2 linked regions of the Caenorhabditis elegans genome follow. The protein of the gene in region 2 purifies or fractionates together with the protein of the main gene of each other region. This does not show direct contact. Each region holds a gene or a part of one and is shown on either strand. Other genes may lie near its edges.

What was found. Proteins that work in one complex are often made in the same cells at the same time.
Region 1: the proteins of dapk-1 (region 2) and ptrn-1 purify together in Caenorhabditis elegans (affinity purification with western blotting, with the first as the bait; one study listed by BioGRID). This does not show direct contact.

What each region holds. Positions count from the first base shown.
Region 1 is NC_003284.9:17,026,891-17,032,315, forward strand, and holds the start of ptrn-1 (Patronin (microtubule-binding protein) homolog), read right to left. Parts: upstream 3,311-5,425; coding exon 3,257-3,310; intron 2,772-3,256; coding exon 2,670-2,771; intron 2,411-2,669; coding exon 2,309-2,410; intron 2,258-2,308; coding exon 2,144-2,257; intron 1,631-2,143; coding exon 1,545-1,630; intron 1,253-1,544; coding exon 1,032-1,252; intron 845-1,031; coding exon 784-844; intron 732-783; coding exon 583-731; intron 527-582; coding exon 246-526; intron 1-245. UniProt on the Caenorhabditis elegans protein: Required for microtubule stability and anchorage by binding to the minus ends of microtubules.
Region 2 is NC_003279.8:1,303,460-1,308,805, reverse strand, and holds the start of dapk-1 (Death-associated protein kinase dapk-1), read right to left. Parts: upstream 3,245-5,346; 5' UTR 3,232-3,244; coding exon 3,125-3,231; intron 1,878-3,124; coding exon 1,653-1,877; intron 1,327-1,652; exon of another isoform or gene 1,182-1,326; intron 947-1,181; coding exon 608-946; intron 1-607. UniProt on the Caenorhabditis elegans protein: Negative regulator of epidermal barrier repair and innate immune responses to wounding.

The DNA.
Region 1 (5,425 bases), on a different chromosome or scaffold from region 2:
ATATAAGTATCTCTCTATAATATTAACGCGAGCTCAAGTTTAAAGAAGGACTTTCATTATTTGACAAAAATAAAAAAGAATTCATTGAGTTCGAGAACGTGTAGTGCAGAATTCTCGAAAAAAAACCGTCAAATTTGTGTAACTCAATATTGGAAATTTAGACTAAAATATAAGAGCGAATGTTTTTAAAAATTAATAATCTCACCAACTACACGTGAGCTTTAACAAATAAAAAGTTTTCATACCTGCCGAATGGTTTGAAAATCGGTCACAGAATCTTGATCCATGCTCCTCCTCTGTAGTGCAATCGATGCTGGACGAGAATAAAATAAACTGTCCTGGCTCATTCTGCTCACTGATCTCGACGGGCCTTGAGAATGTGAAACAGCTGGAGGTGGATTATACATTCTTGGTCGATTCCTATTGTGCATTGAACTTCTCGCCGCCGCATTTGCAGCTCTAAGGTCAGGAATTGCAGATGCCGGCACGAAGCGTCGAGGAGAAGGTCCGATGCGTGGTGTTTCAACTAGAATCATCATTTTTCAGTAATGGTGGAAGAGTGAGATAGGTTGAAGTAATTACCTGGTTCTGGTGTAACTGGCGGTTCGAATTGAACGAATAGGTCAGCAAGGAAGGCGTTCACATTCATTTGTAGTGAGTCACGCAGGTACAGCAGATCTTCGATCTCGAAGTGGAATGGGTCAACTGCGAGGTGGTGTCGGCAGAATAGTCTGGAAATGGGGAAAGAGGGTGTGAAGTGACACACAAAATGAGGTGACTTACTGTAACAACATTAAGTTATATTGGCAGTCTCTTGTGGTCGCTGAATCGTTGAACGAAATATCTGAAATATTTCATTTTAAAATTAGTTTGTAGTGGATAGATTTGAGTGTCGCCTTGGGCTTATATTGAAGTTATCACTTAATTGTCGACCAAATTTAACTGAATATGTTGTACTCAAAAATTGTCAAGCTTAAAGTGTCTCAAACCTAAAAGTCATGGTCCTAATCTTAAGAGAGAGAAAAACTCACCAGCTACAGGCATTTCATGCGGTCTGTACCAATGCAATAGAGCACACAAACACTGCCCATCTGAAATATCCTCGTACAAATCCTCCATTTCCGGAATATTCGTGTTCGAATCCTCCCGTTCTACATCGTCTCTAACTAGAAGACATATTTTATTTATCCAGAAAAGTAGAGCATCCACACTGTCGATGGGCTTTTCGCTGGGCTCCACAGCTGTGTGACGGCTGGAATAAGGGAAAGTGGAATGAGGAAGTTTTGTTGCGATAAATAAGAAAATAAATTCCATTAAACTGGTTAGTTTTTGATAGCATCAATTTAACTGCTGGGGAATTTTTTGAAAAGGTGGGTGTGCTAAAATTTTAAGAAACCTAAATAGCAGAGTTACTGAAAATATGTGAATTTAGCATCAAATCGAAAGCATGATTTTTTTTTTTTTGAAAATTCTGTCTCACGTGTTTTTGTTATAGTCATTAACAGCTTCAACGCAAGAGTTTGAGTTTGATAAAATTAACCAACCTTACTGCTTCAACCACCCGACTGACTGGGATAACATCTCGAAGGTGTGCCATCATAAGAGCATCAATTATTGCAAGGTGTGCAGACTGAAATTAAATTTTTTTGCAATTTTTCAATACCATTTTCAGAAGTAGACTGTGTAATTTTGTGTACCATTTAAAGAATCTTAAAAATTTGTAATGAAAAACGGTACTTGTGTATATCCTTCCATTTTTTTAATTTGGACAAAAAGTGTTTGAAAATTATGTTTAAAAAAGTTCAATCTATTTCAGAACAGCACGTACTTATGCTGAAAGATATGAAAAAAATCTTCAAAACTACCTGAAATTTGTGACTTGTCAAGTAAGATTTTGGCAGTTTTAAACTTTTTAAGGAACTTTTTGAGGTACTTTCAAAATTTCCAATGCATAACTAACTTATTTTCATGTCAAATAAAACAAAATGATCAATTCCGTAGGTTTTCAAACACCGCTAAACAAAACTATATTTTTGGAAAATTAAAAAAATTTTCTCGTACCCTTTGGCAGCTCCCTAAAATAGAAAGTGCATTCAAAGTCTTCAGAACAAAAAATTATGTTTTTAATCATAAAAAGCCTTACCATATTAAAAGGAGCCGAAGCAACCAGCTGCGCCTCCTCCACCAATTCATTTCCGTCGTGCAATACATCGATTCCATAATCGGTCAGCACCGCGAGAACTGCTCCATGGCCTTTCTGAATTTTAAATTAATAGTGAACAAGCTGCTCATCCTCGAACAAACTCACAGTAACTAGCGCTGACTCCTTGAATATCTTAGCAGCAGCTTGTGCGTACAACGAACCATTGCACAGGGCTCCGACGACGGCTTCGTCAATTTGAAAGTGTCCCTGAATAATTGATGAGGTTGTTGTGGAATTTTGGTTTTGGAGATATTGGGATACTTTTTTTTGTTTCGTTACAGAAAAACTAAGATTTCTGATAGTTAAGCAGCTTCTAAAAAGTTATTTTCAAAAGCTATTCAATTTGGAATTTCAGCAGTTAATTAGAAATAATAATATTTCTGATGAAAAATTTGAAAATTGTGGTTTTCAAATTTGAATTTATTAGTTTTTTTTAAATTTAAGCACGAGTCAAATAAAAACTTACATTTTCATCCCTCTGCACTCCGTCCCTTAATTTATCCGGCATATCTCGTTTTTCTTCGTAAACCCGTGAAATTAACCATCGAATCGATGCAGCTAGTTTACCCTGAAATTCCATCAATTTTATCATCCTATTCGCATTTCTTTTTGGTGCACTTGTTGCGGGGTGATGTTTCATTTCGTATTCTATTGCCCGGCAGAGGACACTGCTAAAAATGCATTGCCTCTGACAGAATTCTTCAAAAAGTTTTGGGCATTGCATTTTTAGGTCTGCGTTTCGCTGAGTTGGATAAACGGGGTGAAGGAAAAAAAGTACAATTTAAATTGAAAAAATTCAGAGTATTCAAAAAAAAATGTCAGTGTTTAACATTTAAAAAATTCCAGCAATCTTTTTTTCAACTTTAGGTTTAGAAAGAGTGTTTTTCAAATCTTAAAAAATTAGTTTAACTAAATGTTTTGGTTGAATTACCATTTTCATTATCTAGACCTCGATACCTTTTGGGGTAAGTCTTATTTTTTATTGATTTATTTTACTCGATTAGTATTTTTAATAAGTTTAAATTTTTTTACTATTTAAAAATGCCCACAAACCTCATTTTCATCATAATCCTCTATTGCAAGCAGAGCCGGCAAAGGGAAGTCCATTGCAAGGACCCCTGGGTTTCTGAAACAAAAGAAACGTTACAAGTAGCAGTGTAAAAAACGAAAAAATGGAACAAGATAGAGGATATGCGACTTCGATTTCACAACAAACACAAGTGGTTAAACAAGAGAGAGGGAAAAGAAGTAGAGTCGCAAAGGGAAGTTTTGAGGAAGAAACTCTTTTTTTCAGATTTTTTTAAAGTGTAACCTATTTTATATACCGAAAAGGGCAGGAAAAATTCGAACTTTGTGTGGTGTTGGGCATAATAATGTGTTGTTTGGTGGTTTGGGGGTTTGCGAATGAGACCACCACCACTTCACTGCTTTGCATAGGATGAGGACGGACGGGGGCCGGGGTTAACAATGGCCGAGAGAAACCCGCCGAGGGCTCGTGGTTGGGGGGTGCCCTCGCCGCATCTCACTTGTCGGCCCTGGGTTCGGGATGGTGGAGGCGACGAAGAACAAGAAAACGAGAGAAGAGAAAGGAAAAGGAAACGACTGGGGCACACACACACACACACACACACACACACACACACACACATACAACACAGCAAAAGATGACTGCTGCTGGCTGCTGCTGACCGTTTCGCCTCCCTCCCTCAACTGGCGGTGGTCGAGATAGAGGGAGAATGTAGGAGAGGAGCAAGAGACGCAGAAGGTTTTTTCTACACATGAAGAGGTATTATTCACGGTTTCGTATTGATTTTGCCTTAATTATAATTAGATTGGAGCTTGCTGCGGTGTTCTCCGAGGTTTTTTAAATCGGTGGGCAGGTGGAAATATTTTGTCATAGTTTTTCGAAGTATCAGGTTGTCCCATAAGTTTTTGTACTATTTTTTTTTTGAAAAAAATTTATTTCTCTCAAGCGACAAGTAGTACTATTCACACAAGTATTCACCATTAGTGTCCACCACTTGTTGCCATTTACTAGGTAACATCATGATGCCACGGGAGAAGAAATCCGGCGAACGCGATGAGAAGAAAGTGGAGAGTTCAGTTTTGAGATGCTCTTCGTCGTCGAATTGCTTGTCGCGCATGTAGTCACTGAGAGACAAGAACAAATGGTAGTCGGTTGGTGCAAGATCTGGAGAATATGGTGGATGCGGTAAAACAGTCCAACCAAGATCATGCAGCTTTTGGAAAGTCTTCTTGGCGACATGAGGCCTAGCATTATCGTGAAGAAAATATAGTTTTTCATATTTTCCGTTGGTCTTTTCTGCAACTCGGTCCAATTGGGCACAATAGTAATCAGCAGTGATAGTTTTATTAGTTGGCAACAATTCCCAGTGCACGGGTCCTTGAACACCCCACCAGACACAGATCATAATCTTTTTTGGGTGAAGATCAGGCTTTGGCGTCGGTATTCCTTTCTCACCGATCGGAAGCCATTGACGTTTTCTGGAATGGTTAACATAGAGCACCCACTTCTCATCTCCAGTAACCAGATTGTTCAGCCAATCGAACTTTCGACGAAAAGTTAGAAGTTGAGTACAAACGTTGACCCGAGTGAGCTTCTGTGATGCCGAAAGTTCATGAGGCACCCAAATTCCAAGTTTTGAAGTAAAACCAAGGCGACCCAAGTGACGTGCAATTGTGCTATGACAACACTCAAGCTTCTCTTCCATTTCACGAAGACTAAGACGAGGCTCTTCCTCCACCAGCTTCACTAGGTCTTCTTCATTTAACTCTACCGGTCGCCCAGAACGTTCTATTTCTTCGAGACTGAAGTCGCCGTTCTTGAACTTTTGAAACCAACTCTTTGCTGTATTATAAGAGAGTGCTCCCTCACCCATCGCACCGCATATGTTTCGTTCCGCTTCCATTGCTGAATGACCAAGACGAAATTCATAAAGAAGAAGCAATCTAACGTCTCGACGTTCAAGTTTGATGATTGTCATCGTGGCAAAGTAGAAATGGATGAAATGAATCTTTTCTGAAAGGGGACGACCCGACCTTGACACGACCTACGATGAAAAAATTTTAAAACTTTCTAGAAGTTTTGGAAAAATATTTGAAAAAAAGTACAAAAACTTATGGGACAACCTGATAGAAGCTCAATGAGAAAAATTTACAATTATGTTTTTGAGGACCTCATTAAAAAACCAGTTTTGCACG
Region 2 (5,346 bases):
TTTTTCATTTTTTCAAATAAGTAAAATTCTAAAACTAGAAATGCTATCGGAAAATTTTTAACTGGTAAAGTATAGCCCGTGATGAGGTCTATATGTTTTTACATGTTTGAATAATTCACTGAAATCATGGCAGGTAATAAAGCAGCCGACATCTTGTGAGTACATTTTTAATAATGATTACTAAGACGACTGAAACTTAAAATTTATCTAGATCGCCTTTGACTTTATCAAAAAAGTGGCCCACTAACAAAATATGTTTACCTATTATTCTATATTTTTGTCGTTGAATATCTTTTGATATTATTAAAATTGGCAGAGATACGAGCTTCTAAACTATTTTTGCACATGTGCATCAACAGGGCCTACCGCATTAAGCTTTGAGAGCTCATATCTCGGTAGTCAGTTGACTTGTAAGAAAATTATTAATGTCAAAATATTCTGTATTTGTTTTTTTTATAAGTTTGTAGTTAAAAAGTTTTCAATCCCTTCGAAATTGGCCGAGATAGGAGCTGCTAAACATGAACTAAATATTTTTTGATTTTTTTTATAATTCCTAATTGATTAGAGATATAGTCAAAGTTGGGTGACACTAGCTATCTAAACTTACAAAATATATGTCACAACTCCCACGGCCCACATATCAGTCGCCGGTGACAAGGCTTCATAGTTGACAACCTCTGGAGCCACGAACTCTGGCGTTCCGACCATATCCTTTACCACTGCTCCCGGCTCAATTTCTCTTGACAACCCGAAATCGATGATTTTGATCTGCGAATCGCCGCGTTGTTTTAACATGACATTTTCTGGTTTTATATCCAAATGAACGATATGGAGGGAGTGAAGGTGTCGTACGGCAAGAAGGATTTGCTTGATAAACGCTGCTGCTTCAACTTCATCAAGGCATTCTTTTGCACAGACGTGGTCGAATAGTTCGCCGCCGGATACTCTGAAATTTTTTATGATTAGAACCATATTAAAACCTTAGAATACATTTTTCAAAAAATTGAAAAGTAATTTCTAAGTCAGCCTCTACTTTAATAACTCACACCTCGGAGTCAATGCACCATGTTTTTGAAAGCGTATAACTCAGCGTATGTTGGAGATATCAAAACATGTTTAACTATAGTGTTATACAATTTTGTGTGAGCAATATTTTGTTAATTGAGTAATTTTTGATAACGTCGAAACTAACGTAGATACGAGCTGCCAAACATTAAGTAGAAATACAAAAAAATAGATTACTTTAGCAGCTCATAACTCGGGTTGTTTTAAAGATATCAAAAAAATTTCAACTACAAAATTGTAGAAATTTAGGTAATAAACACGTTATTAGTTGATAAGTTTTTGATATATCCAAAAAAATGAGGTATAAGCTATTAAAGTGTAGAAACACGTCGATGCACCATGTTCCACTTTTCTCATTGACTTTTGGCAGCGTACACTTTGCTTTATATACGATATGCTAATAAGTGTTTCACTACAACATTTTTGAGAAATATGTGATAAACATTTTTTTAACAATCAATTTGTGCTAAATTTAAGAAGAACCGAGTTATGAGCCGCCAAAGTTGAGCAAAAATTAAAACACATTTATTGAAACATTTTCTCAACTAATTTTTAAAACTTAAATCTTAAACCTTTCAAAAACTCACAACTCAAGAACAATGATAACATCACTGGCAGTTTCATAAACTGCATGAAGCTCCACCACATTCGAATTTCCACGAATCTTCTGTAGCACTCGAACTTCTCTTTCGATATTCTGCCTAGTGACTCCACGACGAGATGTTGCGTATCGCCGCTTTTTGATAAACTTTGCTGCATATTTTTCACCGGTTTTTCGATCTCGGACCCGTCGGACTACCGCGAATTGTCCGCTGCAAAAATAAACTGGGTGAGCGTGGGTGTTGATTCAAAGAGCAACATTTTAGAAAGCTAGGTCGTCGCCGACTTCTAAAATTTGAGAGACTGACACGTGGTCTCAGAGTGTCTCACTTCGGCCTGATCTACGTAGATCTACAAAAAATGCGGAAAAAATCGAAAATTCCGGGGATTTAGATTCCGTGGATTTTGTACTAGGAATCCACGGAATCTAGGAGATTTTTTTACTTGAGAAAGTTTTCTGTAAATTTTCACAAAAACAGCATTTCTCACGTTATGTACACAAAATTCGAACTGAAAACTCCGAGAATCTCGATCTACGGAAACCAGAATACCTGAAATTTGAATTCCGCGTATTTGGAAACCCGAGACTTTCATATTTTTTACTGTAAAAAGTAGAGTTTATCCCAGCTTTTCACTATTTTTTGTAAAAATCAAACAGAAAATACTTCTCAATTTTAATCCCGGGAATCTACATTCCGTAGATTTGAAACCCGAAATGTCATATTTTTATGCAAATTTCCGCATTAAAAACACACAAAATTTACAATGCCACAAGGTGCCAGAGTGTCCCATTTCGGCTTAATCTACGTAGATCTACAAAATTGCGGGATTTTAGACTGATTTCGTATGGTTAAGAATGTGCTGACGTCACATTTTTTTGGGCACAAAATTCCCGCATTTTTTGTAGATCAAACCGTGATGGGACAGCCTGACACCACGTGCCAAGTTGTTCAGAAAAGTTGACGTGAAATTCAAATTTTCAGATTAAAATTTTCCAAAAAAATTTTGGCACTAGATTTAAAATAAAATTTTCGAATTTTACCGCTAAATTCAATGTATTGTTTTTGAAATTTTTTCACGAAAAAATTTCTTCGAAAATTTTGGCGCCAAATTTCAAATCTCAGATTTTCCAAAAACAAAAAATTCGGCGCCTAATTCAAATTCAAATTCGAAACATTTTTTGGGCGAAACATTTCCCGCATTTTTTTGTAGATCAAACCGTGTACTGGCACAGCAAATACATCAAATCTTACGCGCAAATTTTTAACCACTTAATGTCCCTTCATTTCCTGAGAGAAGAACGGGAGAATTAAACACATTCACATTCTTTGTCTCTGCTTCCTTGCAATAAACAAAGGGGCAATGTTGTAAAGAATGAAGCGGAATGTTGTTATATTGCAACTAATTTCGCATTTGGATCCGGGTGAACAGGCAGAAAATGAAACAACAAAAAACGAACCTTCCAAGTTCTGTTTCAATTTCGTAGACATCTTCGAACGGCGTATCGTCAAAGTGTACGGTTGAAGAAGAAGTAGAAGTTGCAGAGCTATTGACGTCATCTGACATTTTGACGCATTTACTGAAAGCCTATCTTGTTTTAAATATCGTTTTTAAAGTTTTCAAAGCAAAAAATTATAAAATGTAAGGTGAAAATGACGAAAAATGAATGCAAAAGAAAAGACAGACATGTGGAGGAATGCGGGAGGAAATGAGTCTAGTTGATGGAAGAAGAAGAGGGAATTGGATCAGCTGAGAGAGAATGTTAATGGTGTGGAGATTTAGAAGAGTGGAAAAGAAAATACATAAAGAATAAATATAATATTAAAGTTTTGATCAATAAAAGGCATTGAGATCTGCAGGGTGTTGAACCATAAGGGCAAAATCACGTAGTCACAGGCTGTCCCATTTTTGGTTTGATCTACAAAAAATGCGGGAATTTTTTGCTCAAAAAAATGTGACGTCACTCAGCACGTCTTTAACTATGCAAAATCAGTTGATAAATTCCCGCATTTTTTGTAGATCTAGGTAGATCAAACCGAAATGGGACACTCTGGCACCACGTGGTATTGTAAATTTTGTGTGTTTTAATTTCACAATAGAAAATAACAAAATCTCGGGGTTTCAAATCTACGGAATATAAATTCCCGGGACTAAAATTGCAAAGTATTTTCTGTTTGATTTCGCAAAAAACGTGAAAAGCTGGGATAAACTCTACTTTTTACTGTAAAAAGTATAAAAGTCTCTGGTTTCCAAATCCGCGGAATTAAAATTCCAGGTATTCTGGTTTCCGTGGATCGAGATACTCGGAGTTTTTAGTTCTAATTTTTTGTAAATAACATAACGTAATGTTGTTTTTGTGAAAATTTACAGAAAACTCTAGGAAACACCAAGAAATCTCCTGGTTCTACGGAATCCAAATTCCCGGAATTTAAATCCCCGGAATTTCGATTTCTGTGGATCCTAAAATTCGTAGTTTTCGCTGAAATTTTTACTGTTAAAAAAAGTTTTCCGGGTTTTCAAAATTCTCAGTTCCATGGAAAATTATTTATATAAAATATTATAAATCTCAGTAGATCAGACTTCAAAACACCAAACCCTACGCGCAAGTTTGAAGAAGAGAAATTGATTTTAGAGTCGCTCTTTCAGAAGCTTCAAATGATAAAGTGTGAAGTCATCAGACATCAGAGAGTGTATCGTAACAATCATATCATTCTCTCAAAAACCAGTACAATAAATTTGCTGTGGCGCGCGCCGAAAAAAAAGAAATAAAGGAAAAAAAACAGATAGAGGAAGAAAAAGAAGTAGAAGAATAAAGAGGCATAAAATAATGCTTGACGCCTTTTCGGCAACTCGGCGGCAATGACATGATAGTAGTAATAATAATAATAATAATAATAGTAGGGGGAAAAAGTTTGTGTAATATGTTTTGAAATGATGACACTGCTGGAGATACGGACAAGAAATGATTGACTGACTGGTGGGGGGAGAGCAAAGAAGAAAAAGAAGCATTTTGCACACGAGATGATATTTTCGACAATTCCCGGGGACCCCCCGGGGGTATCATTGCTATTTTTGGAGAAAAAATTCTAGAAAAAAACAGGTTTTTTTCGGAGGAAAAATCTTTATTTTTTTAGAAACCGTAGCCATTATTTGATTTTTAGTTTTAAAAATCGATAATTTCCGGAAACTTCAAAATATCCGATTTATCGAATATTTTGGACGTACGTACATACTCTACTCTATTTATTTATTCAAAAGTTACAGATTTTTCACTAAATTGCTTGTCAATTTTTGGAAAAAATTTAGAAGTTAAATATCGATTTTCCGAAAAATTTAACTAATTGACTTTTCGAATTTTCGAATTATTGATTCTTTAAACTCTACACGGGTTTCAGGCTTCCCAAATTGAAATGGAAGAGTTTTTGCCGAACTAGGCCATTTTGGCTCGGCCATATTTGGGGTAGATTTACGGCGTGTTGCGTGTCGCGTCGCGGCTCGATTTTAGTTGTGAAACTAAATTTATTTGTCCGTGTGGAGTACACGACACTTTCCCACGCGTTGTCCGGCAGGTTGTTAATGGAGCGCGAAAAATTCAATGAGAACCCCGTGAAAGTTACAGATTTTTCACTAAATTGTTTGTCAATGTTTGGAAAAAATTTAAAAGTTATTGATTTTCAGTTA